Linked DNA regions of Notamacropus eugenii. The protein of the gene in region 2 interacts with the protein of the main gene of each other region in a biochemical or structural test. Links are inferred from orthologs where the notes say so. Each region holds a gene or a part of one and is shown on either strand. Other genes may lie near its edges.

Region 1 (7,716 bases), on a different chromosome or scaffold from region 2:
ATTTCTGTAGATGTAGACTAGTAGGCATATGATCAGTAATTGATAATCTTTTCAATTATTCTTCCTGGGGTAGTAATATTATCTAATTTTTCCCCAAGCATTTGGTATCCTTCCCAACTTTCAGATATGCTGAGAAAGATACTTCAATGCCCACAAAAACGTTGCCTCTGTGTGGATGGATATTCTCTGTGCCTATCTGGTGCAGCTCCTGTCTAGTACCATTAGCTTGTTATCTGTTCCTCACATAACACATTAAGGGCTGTGATATTCAGGGTCTGTGTGTGTGTTTGTCCTTTGTTGCCGAAGAAGACCATGCCATCAGAGAAATAATGACATGACTTGCATTTGACTTTGTTTTGATTGAGGGAGGGCTGTGCAGGTCACCAGCCTCACTTCTCCTCCACAGCCATCTGAATCCAGTGACCAGATATTCATCAGGATGACTGGAGATGACCCAGGATGAGGCAGTTGGGGTTAAGTGACTTGCCCAGGGTCACACAGCTAGTGAGTGTCAAGTGTCTGAGGTGAGATTTGAACTCAGGTCCTCCTGACTCCTGCACTGGTGCTCTATCCACTGCACCACCTAGCTGCCCCTTATTCAGGGTCTAAAATGGGAAGAGAGACAGCTAGCTGAGTGATCCTAGACAAGTCCCTTAACCCTGTTTGCCTCAGTCTGTAAAATGGAGAGAGTAAGAGCCCCTCTTTCCCAGGGTGGTTGTGAGGATCAAACTGAGATCATGTGTAAAGTGCCCGGCACACAGTGAGGGGGACAGAAATGTTAGTGCTATCATTATTATTTCCAAGTTCAGTGTCTCGGTAGTTTGTTAAAGAGCCCGCTCTGTTTGGCCTCTCTCCATGTTTCATCCTTCAAGACTGTTTCTCTCTCTGTTCCTCTCCCCAGGCTTGCCCACCTCTGGCTTCCGGATTTCTTTGCATATATTCTTAATTCACAACGATATTCCACTCCCTCATTTGTCTCTTATTCCTTCTGAGTAAGGCACATCCTTCTGGACCGACTTGGTGAGTCTTTTCCCACCAAATCTCAGTGGTCAAACTTGTCACCTTTCCTTAGGATTTCTCATTTTCTGTGCTTGTTACCCCTGAGGAGAACCCTTAAGGTAAAAAATGCTGCCATTTAAAAAATCTTTACACCTCGCATGCCTAGCATAGTGCCTTCCATGTAAAAAAGAGCTTAATAAGGAGTCGTCAGGGCGCCTTATACAATGACAATCCTCTAGTCTCCCAGGCTCCTTCCTCTCCTCCCCGGCCCATCATTCACACAGCTCCCAAAGACTCTTCCCACTGCTCAGGTGTGACCATACCACTCCTCTACTCAAAAGCTTTCACTGCCCTCAATTTCCTTTAGGAACAATTCAATTTAAAGGGGACATAGAGACAAACGACAAAACGGTCCTTGCTCTCCCAGGATATGGTTGATCAAAGATAACAACATGTACAAAGATAAGTAGGCAGATACAGAAACAGAAAAAAGTAAGCACAAAGTACTTTGGGGTGGCAGGAGGGCACCCCAACAAGAGGCGCCAGGCATCGGTTTGGGAAAGGCACCAGAGCCAAACTGGAATCAAACCAGGGACGAGACTGAGGAGACTGGAAACATGGTGGTGCCTTCCCCGGAAATGGGCAAGCTCAAGAGTCCTGGTCAGCGGGACAGACAGACTCGGTTCTGGGCAGACTGCATGGGGGACAGCGTGGGATCCAGATTTCTCTAGTGGGGAGCTGGCACCAGGGATGGGTGTGTGGGAGAAGCAAGAGTGAACAAAGCACGGGAGGCTTTGAAGAGCCTCCTTCCACAGCGCTCTGCCCGACCTTCCCACTCTGACAGCCCTCCCTCCCCTTCCTTCATGCTGGGTGCCAGCTGGACCTCCTGGAATGCCCCTGCCCTCTCCCCTGCCTATGAAGCTGCTGCCAAGGGGCCCAACCCTGGGACCGTGCCTCCTCCTTTCCACAATCCCTTCCTCCACAGATCCCGGAGAACTTTGCCCGTGCCACTCCCGGGCTGGGGGGTGGGGCCCCTCCCTCTGCACCCCCAGAGCCTGGCACAGCGCTAAGTCTCAGAGAACCCGGGCAGGGGCGGGCGCTGCCCCTCGGCCCAGCCTGCAGCGCCTGGCACCCGGAGGGCCGGCTCGCGGGAACACTTCATGCCCATCTGGCAGACCGGGGCCGAGGTGCCCCGCTCCTGATGGCCGAGCTCTGCGTCACGTCCGCACTGACCGCAGCAGGAGCCAGACCCCCCAGGGAGGTCAGCGACGCGGCCACGGGCTACCAGGCCAGGAGAGAGCCCTGCGGGAGGGGATCGAGCATCACCGGGGAAGCAGGAAACAGTGCCCAAGGAGGGGAGGGGGCGTCTTGTCCTTGCGACTGCGCAGTGGCATGAGGGCCACAAGTTCAGAAGGGGCCAAGTTTCATACAGCGCATGCGCAAGCAGAATCAAAAGAGTTCCGGAACCGAGGTTCTCAGCGCTTACTCTGTTAGGGCGCATGCGCAAGCGGAGTTAAACGTGTACAAGAAGGCACGTCGTCACCACGGCAGCCAGTGCCCCTGATCTATGGCGCATGCGCAGCTTCGGGTTAAGCCATTCTAGTCAACGCCTCTCTTCTCAGCGCGCCTGCGCACTGGAAAGTTATGGGGGGCGTGTCACGGACCCAGACAGTTCACGAACGAGGCCCCCCCAACCTCCTATGGCGCATGCCCAGTAGTAGGTGGAAGGCGCGTTACGTCCCGAAGAGTCAGACCCCCACCTTCCCTTCCCTGCCACGGCGCCTGCGCAGCCGCAACCAGACCCTGAGAGGAGGTCCCAGCCCGCTCCCTCCCCGTCCCCCAATCCAAAAGCAGGCCCGCACCCTCAGGGAGTGCAAGCGGCCCCGGAGCGCCGAGGGCCACGGACCGCCGAGGTACCTCAGCGCGCGCTCCCTCGCTCCGTCCACCGCCCGTCACGTCAGTCAGGCTCCGGCTGCGGCGGCTCCGGAGCCTCCTCCGCGGGATCCCGTCACCTGACGCAGGGGATGGGGCCTACGCGAAGGCACTTCCGGTCCGCACCCGGAAGGGAACGGCGGGCACTGTGGGCGGGGACACCTTCGACCAGACGACCAAGGTTCCGCCCGCGGGCGAGGCACGTGGGATGCGGAAGGAAGAAGGATAAGCCCTGAATGTCAGGACTGGAGGGGCCTCAGACCAGGGGGGGTCAGGACCGGAGGGGCCTGAGAACAGGGGGTGTCAGGACCGGAGGGGCCTCAGACCAGGGTGGGTCAGGACTGGAGGGGCCTCAGACCAGGGGGGTCAGGGCCGGGAGGGGCCTCAGACCAGGGGGTGTCAGGACCGGGAGGGGCCTCAGACCAGGGGGATCAGGGCCGGGAGGGGCCTGAGAACGGGGGGGGGGTCAGGGCCGGGAGGGGCCACAGACCAGGGGGGGTCAGGACTGGAGGGGCCTCAGACCGGGGGGGTCAGGGCCGGGAGGGGCCTCAGACCAGGGTGGGTCAGGATTGGAGGGGCCTCAGACCAGGGGGGGGGCCTCAGACCAGGGCGGGGCTGGGCTGGGGGGGGCCTCAGACCAGGGGGGGGCTGGGCTGGGGGGGGGCCTCAGACCAGGGCGGGGCTGGGCTGGGGGGGGGCCTCAGACCAGGGCGGGTCAGGACTGGAGGGGCCTCAGACCAGGGGGGGGCTGGGCTGGGGGGGTGCCTGAGAACCAAGGTTGAAGAGGTAGGTGAAAGTTAGATTCAGGAAGACTTCAGATAACAGTTTGAGGAGTTTGCCTGTGATTTTAGAGGCAGTAGTGAACTCTCAGAGGCTTCTGAACAAGGGGGTGACGTGGTCAGACACGTCTTAGGAAGATTATTGTTGTGGCTTTGAGGAAGATGACCTAAGGGAGGGCACAAGCTGAAGGTGAGAGCAGCTCTCTGGAAGGCAGTGCCATGTCCAGGCAAGGCTGAGGCCTTGCCCTAGGGATCCTTCATCTCTCTTGTGGAGCTGTCAGCTGAGTCTGGGGGGAGGAGGCAGAGGCCAGCAGAAGAGCCTTTGACCCCAGCCTGAGAACAACTGCCCTACCCAGAAAGGCATGGCAGGTGGATTCGACTGGTGCTGGGTATGAGCGATGCAGAAAGGCAGCACCACGGCTTCGGCCCCCAGGGAGCGCACGTTCTAATGCAGGAGACCCCAAGAAAACAGCTTTATACTTGTGAGCTCCACATGGTATCACTGGGAGGCAGTCAGAGTGAAGGCGCATTCAGTGGATGGGGTCCCAGGAAAGCCTCCAGGAGCTGAGTCTTACAGGAAGCCACAGACTGTAACGGTAATTTAAGGTTAATGGTGAGTGGGGGGAAGAGTTAAAGATCTCCCCCTCCCATTAATAGGCCTCAGTCCCTTTTGTTAATCTCTGTTGAGGGTCCTGCCCTGGGCTCTGAGGTGAGGCTTAGCGTTTGGGAGAAGGTTGGTGTGCTAGGTGAGACTCTGGGCAGCTGCTGAGGAGCCCCTCCCCTTGGAAAGCCCAGATGTTGGTGATTTAGTGCTCACGGTCAGACAGTTGGAAGCTCTGTCTGTTGGTCTTGGTTTCTCTGAAGTTCAGGGGGCTGACTCTTTCGTCTGAACTAAGTGAATGATACATGTGCCTGATTAAAGTAGATTGCTGACTCCTCTTTTCAGAATAGCAGATCTGAGAACCTGTAGAGCAGGCCCTCCTGTGGGTGCCGGGGTCCTTGCTGTTACAAAGCCAGTGAAAGCATGGAGCTGGCAGTGTTTTGTACAAGGGATGGTGAGAAAGGTGGGAACAAGCCTTTATGAGGCACCTGCTGCGTGCCAGGCACTGTTCTCAGCCTTTTGCAACAATGACCTCATTTAATCTTTGCAGCCCTTGGGTGATACATGTTACAGTTACCCTCATTTTACAGTTAAGGAATCTAAAGTAAACTTTAGGCTAAATGACTTGTGCGGGGTCCCACAGCTAGTAAGTGTCTGGGGCTGGATTTGACTCCAGACCAACGCTCTGTCCGCTGTGGTATCCCCCTTGCTTCCTCTGGGCCAGTGCTGCTGGGGCATACAGCCCCAATTCAGGAATTGAAGCTAAAAAGATGAGTGCATTTGCCAACCTAATTCTATAATGACTGCCAACAGACTCAGAGGAAAGATGCATATTCCACAAGGTCTCTATGAATACTTACAAGAAATGAAATGAGATTTGAAAGTGAAATAAAAGCTGTAATCTAGAGGAAAGATCCCACCTTCCCTATTACTGTTGAGGATACCACTCTCTTCCCAGTCCCCCAAGGTCACAATCTAGGGGTCATCCTGGACTCCTCATGCCCTCTCCCCCCACATCCAATATGGTGCCAAGGCCTGTGGATTTTACCTGTGCAGTATTCCTTGTATGTCTCACCCCTGCATAATACTCACCCTTCTCCCCTCTGACACTGCCCCCACTCTGGTGGATTATTGCAGTAGCTGCTGGGAAGTCTGTCTGTCTCCAGTCTCTCCCTACTCCAATCCACCCTCCATCAGCTAAAGTGATTTTCCTAAAACCTACGTCTGATCACGTTGCTCTCCTAGAACTCAAGTTCCTGGGGCTCCCTGTTGCCTTCAGCAACAAAGACCAAATGCTGTTTGACATTCAAAGCCCTTTGTAACCTGGTTTCCTCCTACCTTTCCAGTCTTATACCTTCATCCTGGACAGGACAGTGGCCTTGGTTCCATTTCTTAGCTCTGTGCATTTTCTCTGACTGTCATTCATACCTGGAATGTTCTTCCTCCTCATCGTTATTCACTGATTTCCCTGGTTTCCTTTAAGCCTCTACCAAAAGCCTGTCTTCCACAGGAAGCCTTCCCCAACGTCTCTTCAGTCTAGTGTCTTCCCTTTGTTAATTATTTCCTATTCATCCTGTATATAGTTTGCTTGGTGTAGATTTGTTTGCACGTCGTCTCCCCCTTTAGATTGTAAATTCCTTGAGGGCAGGGACTGTCTTTTGTCTCTTTTTGCATCTTCAGTGCTTAGCACTGTGCCTGGCACATAGTAGGTACTTAATAAATGTTTATTGATTGAAGTAGCTTGGAAGGGAAAGTGATAAACCTTATTCAAGAAATGGGTGCCCTGAAAACTAGAGAATAGACCAACAAAGCAAGGATTTTATGAGACAGCAAGAAATAGTAGGGAAAAAATTGAGATTGAAAAAGAGAAAATATAAGATATCTGATTTTTTAAAAAAACTGACCTGGAAAAGGTCAAGGGAGATAATGTCAGGCATTGTCTTATGTAAAAACCATTATTTAAAAAAATTAAGTGCTGGACATTATATTTTAAAAAACCATAAAAGAAAACTTCTAACGTGTTAGAACCAGAAAACAAAGTCAGTAAAGATACAAAGAATCCACTGTTTAATTCCTGAAAGGAACCCAAAAGGGAAGAATCCCAGAAATGTCCCAGTCAATACCTAGAGCCCCCATGTCAAAGAAAAATTGCTACAAGCCTCCAGGAAGAAGTTTGGGGAATGAGTCAGGATCATACAAGACCTGGCAGCTTCTACTAAAAATGAACAGCGATCATGTAATTCAATATTCCAAAAGGCAGAAGAAGCATCTTAGAACTGAGAATAACTTGCCCTGCAAATCTGAGCATAAAAAACTACAGGGAAAGAAAAGCAGACCTTTCACGGAATAGAAACGTGATGAACAGCTCAAATAGAAAGGAACCAATCAATCCCTACCAAGTCACACAAATTAACATTATCCACATTGCGTTTTTATTTATTTTGTTAAACATTTTCCAGTAAAATACAACCCAGTTCAGCGTCATTCAGGAGTTTTGTGGGCTCACTGGCCACAAATTGGACACCTTTAGAATAGAGAATGCTCAGGTATTTCTGATGAAGAGCAACACTGAGGGAATTGAAATAGAAACTTTAGAAAGGTAACATCAACCATTTATTAAGCAATTACCATGTGCCAGGTACTGTGCTAAGTACTGGAAATAAAAATACAAGAAGAAAGGGAGGTACAGTTATCCTTTCCCCATCACAATTTCAGTATATTGCAGGTTGGCATAAGAAATTAAATGGGAATTTGGGGGGAGTTTTGTGGAAGCAGCAGATGACAGAAAAGGTTTAGAAACTCAGAAATAATAAAATATATGTATAGTATTATATAATGGCAACATATTTTATCTTTTAATACCTTAATAATTTAGACTTCTTCTCTGGCATGAAAGGAGGGCCACAGAATTTTATGTTGCTTTTCCAGATCCCTAGCACTGTGCTAGTGAAAGGGGTAACTGTATTCCCTGACTTCACATAGCTTACATTCTGGTTTTGAGAGAAGACAACAAACTGAAGGGAGCCAAAGATGAGGGTGGAATAGATGGCGTCCAAGTCCAGAGGGCCAGGAGTGAGGCAGCCAACACAGCTGGCCTGGGCACTTCCTTGAAATGGAGGGTCTGGGAAGAATTCATCAATGGGAGGAGGCAGGCCATAGCAGCAGCAGGATCTTCCAGAGGGACTTCACTCCAAGTTATACTCCAGACTCTCCACAGGACTCTCTACCATGCCGCAGAAACTTCTTCATCCCACAAGCTCACTCCACTCCTGGACTTCACGTATTGGAAGTACCCTCTGCTCCTTCAGCCTCTCTCAAAAGGGAGAAAGAAACATGTTGTTTTCTGAATGTCTCTTTCTGAAATGTTCAGCCTTTTCATATCAACTGATTCTTTCTTTACTGCCT
Region 2 (7,364 bases):
AAACAGTTTTATATTTCCTCGTAGCTGTGAAGATGGGCTAATATTTAAATGTTATGTGTTGTGTAATTCTATTATCATAAAAGACAAAGAGAAAATATAATCTGTACAAACAGATCTTTAAGAATAGAGAATACTAACTTCTTACCTTTAATATGGTTTACTTCTGCCTTAATGATTTTCCTAAATTGAGATAGCAGCTTAGAAGCTGATAATATTCCATTATCTAAAAAACTGATCAGAGGATTTCCTGCTGGATTTCTTTTAAACTTCACAAAGTAAAAGGCACCACTGTCATCATATTCTTCTAGTTCAATTCTGGAAACTTCCAGTTTAAGCATGATATCAAATTCATTTGGAGCAGAAATCTATGAAACAGCAAAAAAAAAAAAATTACACTGACATGTATGATGTATTTTTTAATGTTTTGCTGATTTGTCAAAAATTGAATTTTCCTGAGAATTTTCATTTATTAATTCAATTTGCAAAATTTCTAAAATTAAAATTTTATCATACAAGATTTTGTTCCCACATCAGTTTTCCTGGGTTTAATTTTCCACAAAAATTTTTTTAAAAGAAGTATATTAAGCTCATCAAATGGGCTAGAACCCTGAATAAATCTTTGTTTATTCTTTCTTTGCTCCTCACTATAGTAAGGAATCATGTTCTTCATTTGTAAAAATAATACTAGTGACCCAAGGAGCAGCTAGGTGGTGCAGTGGATAGAGCAGGAGTCAGGAGGACCTGAGTTCAAATCTCACCTCAGACACTTGACACTCACTAGCTGTGTGACCTTGGGCAAGTCACTTAACCCCAACTGCCTCATCCTGGGTCATCTCCAATCATCCTGATGAATATCTGGTCACTGAATTCAGATGGCTCTGGAGAAGTGAGGCTGGTGACCTGCACAGCCTTCCCTCACTCAAAACAAAGTCAAGTGTAAGTCATGTCATTATTTCTCTGATGGCATGGTCTTCTTCGGCAACAAAGGACAAACACATCATTCTTTTGTGAGTAAATCCTCCATATCTAAACATGGGTCATGGGAACTCTACATCCCAGTAGGTTGGCAACAAAAATATCATTGACTAGGAGAAATAAGTGCCACCCTCTTCCTTTCCCTCCCCTTCACAAAGCTGAAGATCATAAGGTTTAGGGTAGGAAGTGAGTTCAGGATTCATTTTGGTCTAACCTCTGATATAGGGAGAAAACAGGAGTTAGGAGAGAACTTGGTGTTAAATCCTGCCCTGAGGTTCACTACCAGTGTGACTGAGAGAAAAGCACCTTAACCTTTCAGTGTCCCCAGGCCTCTAAAATGGACATGTTACAACTGAATTTTAATAAAAGATTAAATTGAGGAAGATCTCCGAACAAGATAACATTTATTAGCATATAGTAAGTGGGTCAGGGGCTTGCCTCCATTAATGCCAAAGACCCCCCAGCCCCAGCAAATGGACAGTTCCTTTTCTATCGGTTTTGGGGAGTCCAGAACAAAGAACAGCACAGGGCAGGTGAAATCATGGGATTAAGGGCAACATGATCGGTTACAGACCTGAAGCACAAGAAACAACAGGAACGTTTGGAAGTTTGGCAATAGAAACTAGCAAATAATCCCCACCTTCTGAGACTCCCGGTGTGAGGCAGCAGCCCACACTGATGGACAGCGAACCAGACAGATCACACACCATTTCCCATCTGCGAAAACCTAGGCTCACCGAAGTTAAACGACTTGCTCAATAGGTAATTAAGTAGCAGGCGTGAACAACTTCCCATTCCCAGATCCAGCTTTCTTTCTTGGATCCCCTGTAGAAAAACGAGCAGCTACGGCGCAGAGTTATCGTGGTTTTGGTGACAAGGCGCCTGCAGAGTCGGAAGTAATGATAACGGAAAGCAAAGCATTTTGCAAACATTGAAGATCTATAAGGAAGCTAGCTACTACCATTCTCGAAGGAGAGGTAGGAGTGAGCAAACCCTTAGTCAACTCACCTTCACCTGCTCGTAGTAGCTGCCGGTGCCCAGCCTCTCAATGCCCCTGAAAGCCGGGTCCCAGAGGGGCAGCCGCCGCTGCAGGTGGTCGACGACCTGGTTCACCAACACGCAGGCCTGGGATGTCTCCTGACGCCGCAGCTTCAGTTTCTCCACTACCTGCTGTAACCTCCGGCCAACGGAGTTCTGCCGGGGGACCCCCTTCTTCCGATCCTCAGGATCCTTCATTCCCTTGGGCAAGATTCCCGGCTCGTTGGACAGGGGCGTCAGAACTCCAGGCCCGGGATTCTTCTTGAGGACCGGTCTCCCTTCCTGTAGGGTATGTACGTCCCTTGGGTGGGGAAGCCCCTTCTTAGTGGCCTGAGACCCCGGGACCCTGGTAGGCAGCTTCTCCTGGAGGACAGAGGGTTCCTTCTCCGGGAGAACAGGGGGTTGTTTGGCCCTGAGGACAGGGGGTTTCTTCTCCTGGAGGACAGGGGGTTGCTTCTCTTGGAAGACAGGGGGTTTCTTCTCCTGGAGAACAGGGGGTTGCTTGGCCCTGAGGACAGGGGGTTCCTTCTCCGGGAGAACAGGGGGTTGCTTGGCCCTGAGGACAGGGGGTTCCTTCTCCGGGAGAACAGGGGGTTGTTTGGCCCTGAGGACAGGGGGTTTCTTCTCCTGGAGGACAGGGGGTTTCTTCTCCTGGAGAACAGGGGGTTGCTTGGCCCTGAGGACAGGGGGTTTCTTCTCCTGGAGGACAGGGGGTTTCTTCTCCTGGAGAACAGGGGGTTGCTTGGCCCTGAGGACAGGGGGTTCCTTCTCCGGGAGAACAGAGGGTTGGTTGGCCCTGAGGACAGGGAGTTGCTTCTCTGGCAGAGATTCCGACCCACTGGAGTAGGAACCCTTCCCTGGGGCGGCGTCCGTCACGTCGGGGGCAGCCTGAGAGGAGAGGCTGGGAGCCCGGGTTCGTGCTGCCTGCGTCTTGCGGGAACCTCGGGTTGAACTCTTGCGCCGGGCTGCCGGAGCCCTTGTCACTGTCCCCTCCATCCCGGACCACCCAAGCTCTTCTGGATCTCTCGCCTTGGTATCTCGTAGAAAAAGGCTTTCCAGGAAGAGACAGGAGTGAGGGTGGGGAGAGTGGGGATTGGACTGACTAGAGAAAAGGCGGGAGTGGTGGAGGGGATTCTAAGGAAATGAAACTTATCAAACCGGCGGGAAGTCTGAAGGACAAGAATGTAGACTAACTGGAAATCCCCGGCTGTCCTAGCAATTAACTGGGAAGGGGGAAAATAGTTTAATATATTGACTTATACAATAAGTATAACTTTATAACTTTTTACAGCTCAAAAAACCCAAAAACTTTTAAGCGTTTTGTCCTTGTGCAGCAGCCACTTGCTTTGTACAATTTGGCTTTAGATTGGCAAAATTAAAATCTTCCTTTCATTCTTCATCACTGAATCGCACTTTTATCACCATGTATAATTAAGCATACCTTTGAAGGAGAATTCATTTTTCCAAGTCTAATCTTGATTATAGTGCATAACTTTTTTTAAAAATACATTTTATTGTTATCTTTTTGTTTTTACATCTCCTAGATTTCCCCCATACCCTTCCCTCTTACCCTTCCCAGAAAGTTATCCCTTATAAGAGATTTTAAAAGAAAAAATCGTCAACACTGATCAATACACTGAAAAAAATTGAGGTTATATGCAATGTTCCACACATCCTTCACCCCACCTCCACCTCTGTAAAAGATCTAAGATATGGTCTTCTCATCTCATCCTTTATAATGTAAAGAAGAACCTCCCTCACATTAGAGAGGTCCACCTGTAGCAAGGGCTGCCCTTATGTGTGGCTCTAAGGGAGGCAAAATAGACATCTCTAGCCTCTTCTCCCCCCACCTTTCTCCAAGGGAGACTTGCATTACTGCCAGGAGGGAAGCAGGAGGTTCGCAGAGGCATTCCCCATATCTGGGGACTAGAACTTGATTACACTAATAGCTGCTAAAAGCAAAAGAAAACAAAAAAAGAAAAATGAGTAAGCAAAGGAGAAAATCCAACTGATGGAATCCTAGCCACTGGCCCCCACATCCAATATCTCAACTTCTTCATATGCCTCACTAGACAGATGTGCTCATGAGGAAGCTAGGATATTGGGTCTGGGGGCAATGGCTAGCTAGGGACAGTGGCTAGGATTTCATCACAACCATAAGTAGCTCCTATAAGGACAGAGAAGATCTGAGTTCATACTCAGAGGAAGATAAAGGAGCTAAAAAAAAAAGTCACTCCTTTTTCAACGAGAAATGTCAAATGGTTCCAAGCAAAAAAGAGTTCTTGGAAGAACTTTAAAAAGATTTTAATAATCTAATAATAGAGATTGAGAAAAAATTAGGAAAAAATAAGATCAACCAACTTAAAATAAAGAATTAAAAACTGAAAGAAGAAAATAATTCCTTGAAAACTAGAATTGAGCAAAGGGAAGCTAACGACTTTCAAAGACACCAAGAAATAATTAAACAAAATCAAAAGAATGAAAAAATAGAAGAGAATGTGAAACATCTCATCAAAAAAACCAATCTGGAGAACAGGTTTAGAGAAATAATATAAGAATAGTTCAACTACCTGAAAATTATGATAAAAAAGAATCTTCATCACATCTATCAGATTGGCAAACATGACAGAACAGGAAGATGATAAATGTTGGAGAGGATGTGGGAGAGTTGGAACACTAATATGCTGCTGGTGGAGCTGTGAATTGATCCAACCATTCTGAAGAGCAATTTGGAACTATGCCCAAAGGGCTACAAAAATATGCATACCCTTTGACCTAGCAATAGCACTTCTAGGACTGTATCCCCAAAAAGATCATAAAAATGGGAAAGGGTCCCACATGTACAAAAATATTTATAACAGCACTCTTTGTGGTGGCCAAAAACTGGAAATCAAGAGGATGCCCATCAATTGGGGAATGGATGAATAAATTATTGTGTATGAATATAATAGAATACTATTGTGCTATAAGAAATGATGAACAGGAAAACTTCAGAGAGGCCTGCAAAGACTTATATGATCTGATGCTGAGTGAAAGGAGCAGAACCAGGAGAACTTTGTGCACAGCAATGACCACAGTGTGTGAGAGTTTTTTCTGGTAGATTTGGAACTTCATTGCAATGCAAGGACTTAAAAAAAAAAATTCCCAATGGTCTTCTAAGGCAAAATGCCTTCCACATCCAGAGAAAGAACTATGGATTGCAGATTGGAGCAGATCAGATCATTTGTGTGTGTGTGTGTGTGTGTGTGTGTGTGTGTGTGTGTGTGTGTGTGTATGTGTGTATTGTGTTTTGGTTTGTTAGATGATTTCTCCCAATCATTTTAATTCTTCAACACAGCATGACTATAGTGAAAATGTATTTAATAGGAATGTATGTGTAGAACCTATACAAAATTGTATGCTGTCTCAGGGAGGGAGGGGGGAAGTAAGAGGGAGGTAGGGGAAAATAATAGCCTAAGTTATATGGTAGTTATTGTAGAACACTGTAAATAAATAAAATTAATTAATAAAAAAATAATCTTGATACAATATTGTAAGAAATTATCAAGGAAAATTGCCCTGACATTCTAGAAGAAGAAGGCAAAGTAGAAATAAAAAAATCACCGATAACCACCTGAAAGAGGTTCTAGAAGAAAAACTTACAGGAATATCATAGCCAAATTTCAAAGCTCTCAGGTTAAGGAAAAAATATTGGAAGCAACAAGAAAAAAAATTTCAACATCATGGAACTACAGTAGGGATTATGTAAGAACCAGCAGCTACTATTATGAAGGACTGTGAAGGTCTTGGAATACTATATTTCATAGAACAAAAGAGCTGGAGTTGTGACCAAGGGTAACTTACCCAGCAAAGTTAAGAATAATTCTGAATGAAAAAGAATGGACATTTAATGAACTGAAAGACATCCAGGTATTTGTGACAAATAATAGCAAAACTTAAAGGAAAATTCAGCATATAACACCCTGGAGAAATATAAGGTAAACGTCAAAAACCAATTATAAAGGGCTCAATTAGATCAAATTGTTTACTTCTAATATGTGAAAATATTATCAGTACTTTTATGACTATCATTATTTTTTGGGCAGTTTGAAAGAAAGGCTTGAGCTAAGCTGTGTATGATGGCATGGTTCTAGAAAAAATTGTAGGGAGAGATAAAAAGGAGTAATTATCTCATACCAATGAGGCATAAAAGGAAAAACTGATACAGAAGAAGCTAGTAGCGGGGAGGGTAGGTAGTGCTGGATTACTCTCATGAGGAATTACTCCTCAGAAATGAGTTAAAGAGGGAACAACATATATATATGTATATAAAAATATACATATATATGGGTATAAAATCTCCTAAATTCAAAAAGAAATAACAGGGCAAGGAGATAAGGTAAGGGAGAGGATAAGGGAGAGACTCTTGGAGGGGTGTGCAGGTTAAGTAGTAAGTAAGTCCCTTATGATTTCTCTTTTCCGTTTACCTTTTCATGCTTCTCTTGATTCTTGTATTTGAAAGTCAAATTTTCTATTCAGCTCTGGTCTTTTCAACAAGAATGCTTGGATGTCCTCTATTTCACTGAAGTTTCATTTTTTTCCCCTGAAGCATTATACTTACTTTTGCTGAGTGATTCTTGGTTTTAACCCTATCTCATTTGACCTCTAGAATATCATATTCCAAGCGCTTTGATCCCTTAGTGTAGAAACTGCTAAATATTGTGTTATCTTGATTGTGTTTCCACAATACTTGAATTGTTTCTTTCTGGCTGCTTGTAATATTTTTTCCTTGACCTGGGAACTCTGACATTTGGCTACAATATTCCTAGGAGTTTTCCTTTGGGGATCTCTTTCAGGAGGTAATTGGTGGATTCTTTTCATTTCTATTTTATCCTCTGGTTCTAGAATATCAGGGAAGTTTTCCTTGATAATTTCTTGAAAGATGACATTTAGGCTCTTTTTTTTGATCATGGCTTTCAGGTAATCCAATAATTTTTAAATTATCTCTCCTGGATCCATTTTCCAGGTCACTTGTTTTTACAATGAGATATTTCACAGTCTTCTATTTTTTCATTCTTTTGGCTTTGTTTTATAATTTCTTGATTTCTCATAAAGTCATTAGCTTCCATTTGCTCCATTCTAATTTTTAAGGAATTATTTTCTTCAGTGAGCCTTTGGACCTCTTTTTCCATTTGGCCCTTTCTGCTTTCTTCTCCTTATTAGCTCTTTGGACCTCTTCTGTCATTTGGGTTAGTTTAATTTTAAAGGTGTTATTTTCTTCAGCATTTTCAGGGGGTTCCTTTAGCAGGCCTGTGCTCTGGTCTGTGAGTGACCACAATCTTTTCATGCTTTTCTTGCATCACTCTCATTTT

Evidence for each region.
Region 1: of the proteins of CGAS (region 2) and RNF185, one has a biochemical effect on the other in vitro, tested with the Homo sapiens proteins (2 studies listed by BioGRID). The link is inferred for Notamacropus eugenii from reciprocal best matches to the Homo sapiens genes CGAS and RNF185.

What each region holds. Positions count from the first base shown.
Region 1 is NC_092875.1:13,959,940-13,967,655, forward strand, and holds the start of RNF185 (E3 ubiquitin-protein ligase RNF185), read right to left. Parts: upstream 3,007-7,716; 5' UTR 2,917-3,006; exon of another isoform or gene 2,862-2,916; intron 1-2,861. UniProt on the Homo sapiens protein: E3 ubiquitin-protein ligase that regulates selective mitochondrial autophagy by mediating 'Lys-63'-linked polyubiquitination of BNIP1.
Region 2 is NC_092873.1:142,982,810-142,990,173, forward strand, and holds the start of CGAS (cyclic GMP-AMP synthase), read right to left. Parts: upstream 3,099-7,364; 5' UTR 3,010-3,098; coding exon 1,984-3,009; intron 366-1,983; coding exon 146-365; intron 1-145. UniProt on the Homo sapiens protein: Nucleotidyltransferase that catalyzes the formation of cyclic GMP-AMP (2',3'-cGAMP) from ATP and GTP and plays a key role in innate immunity.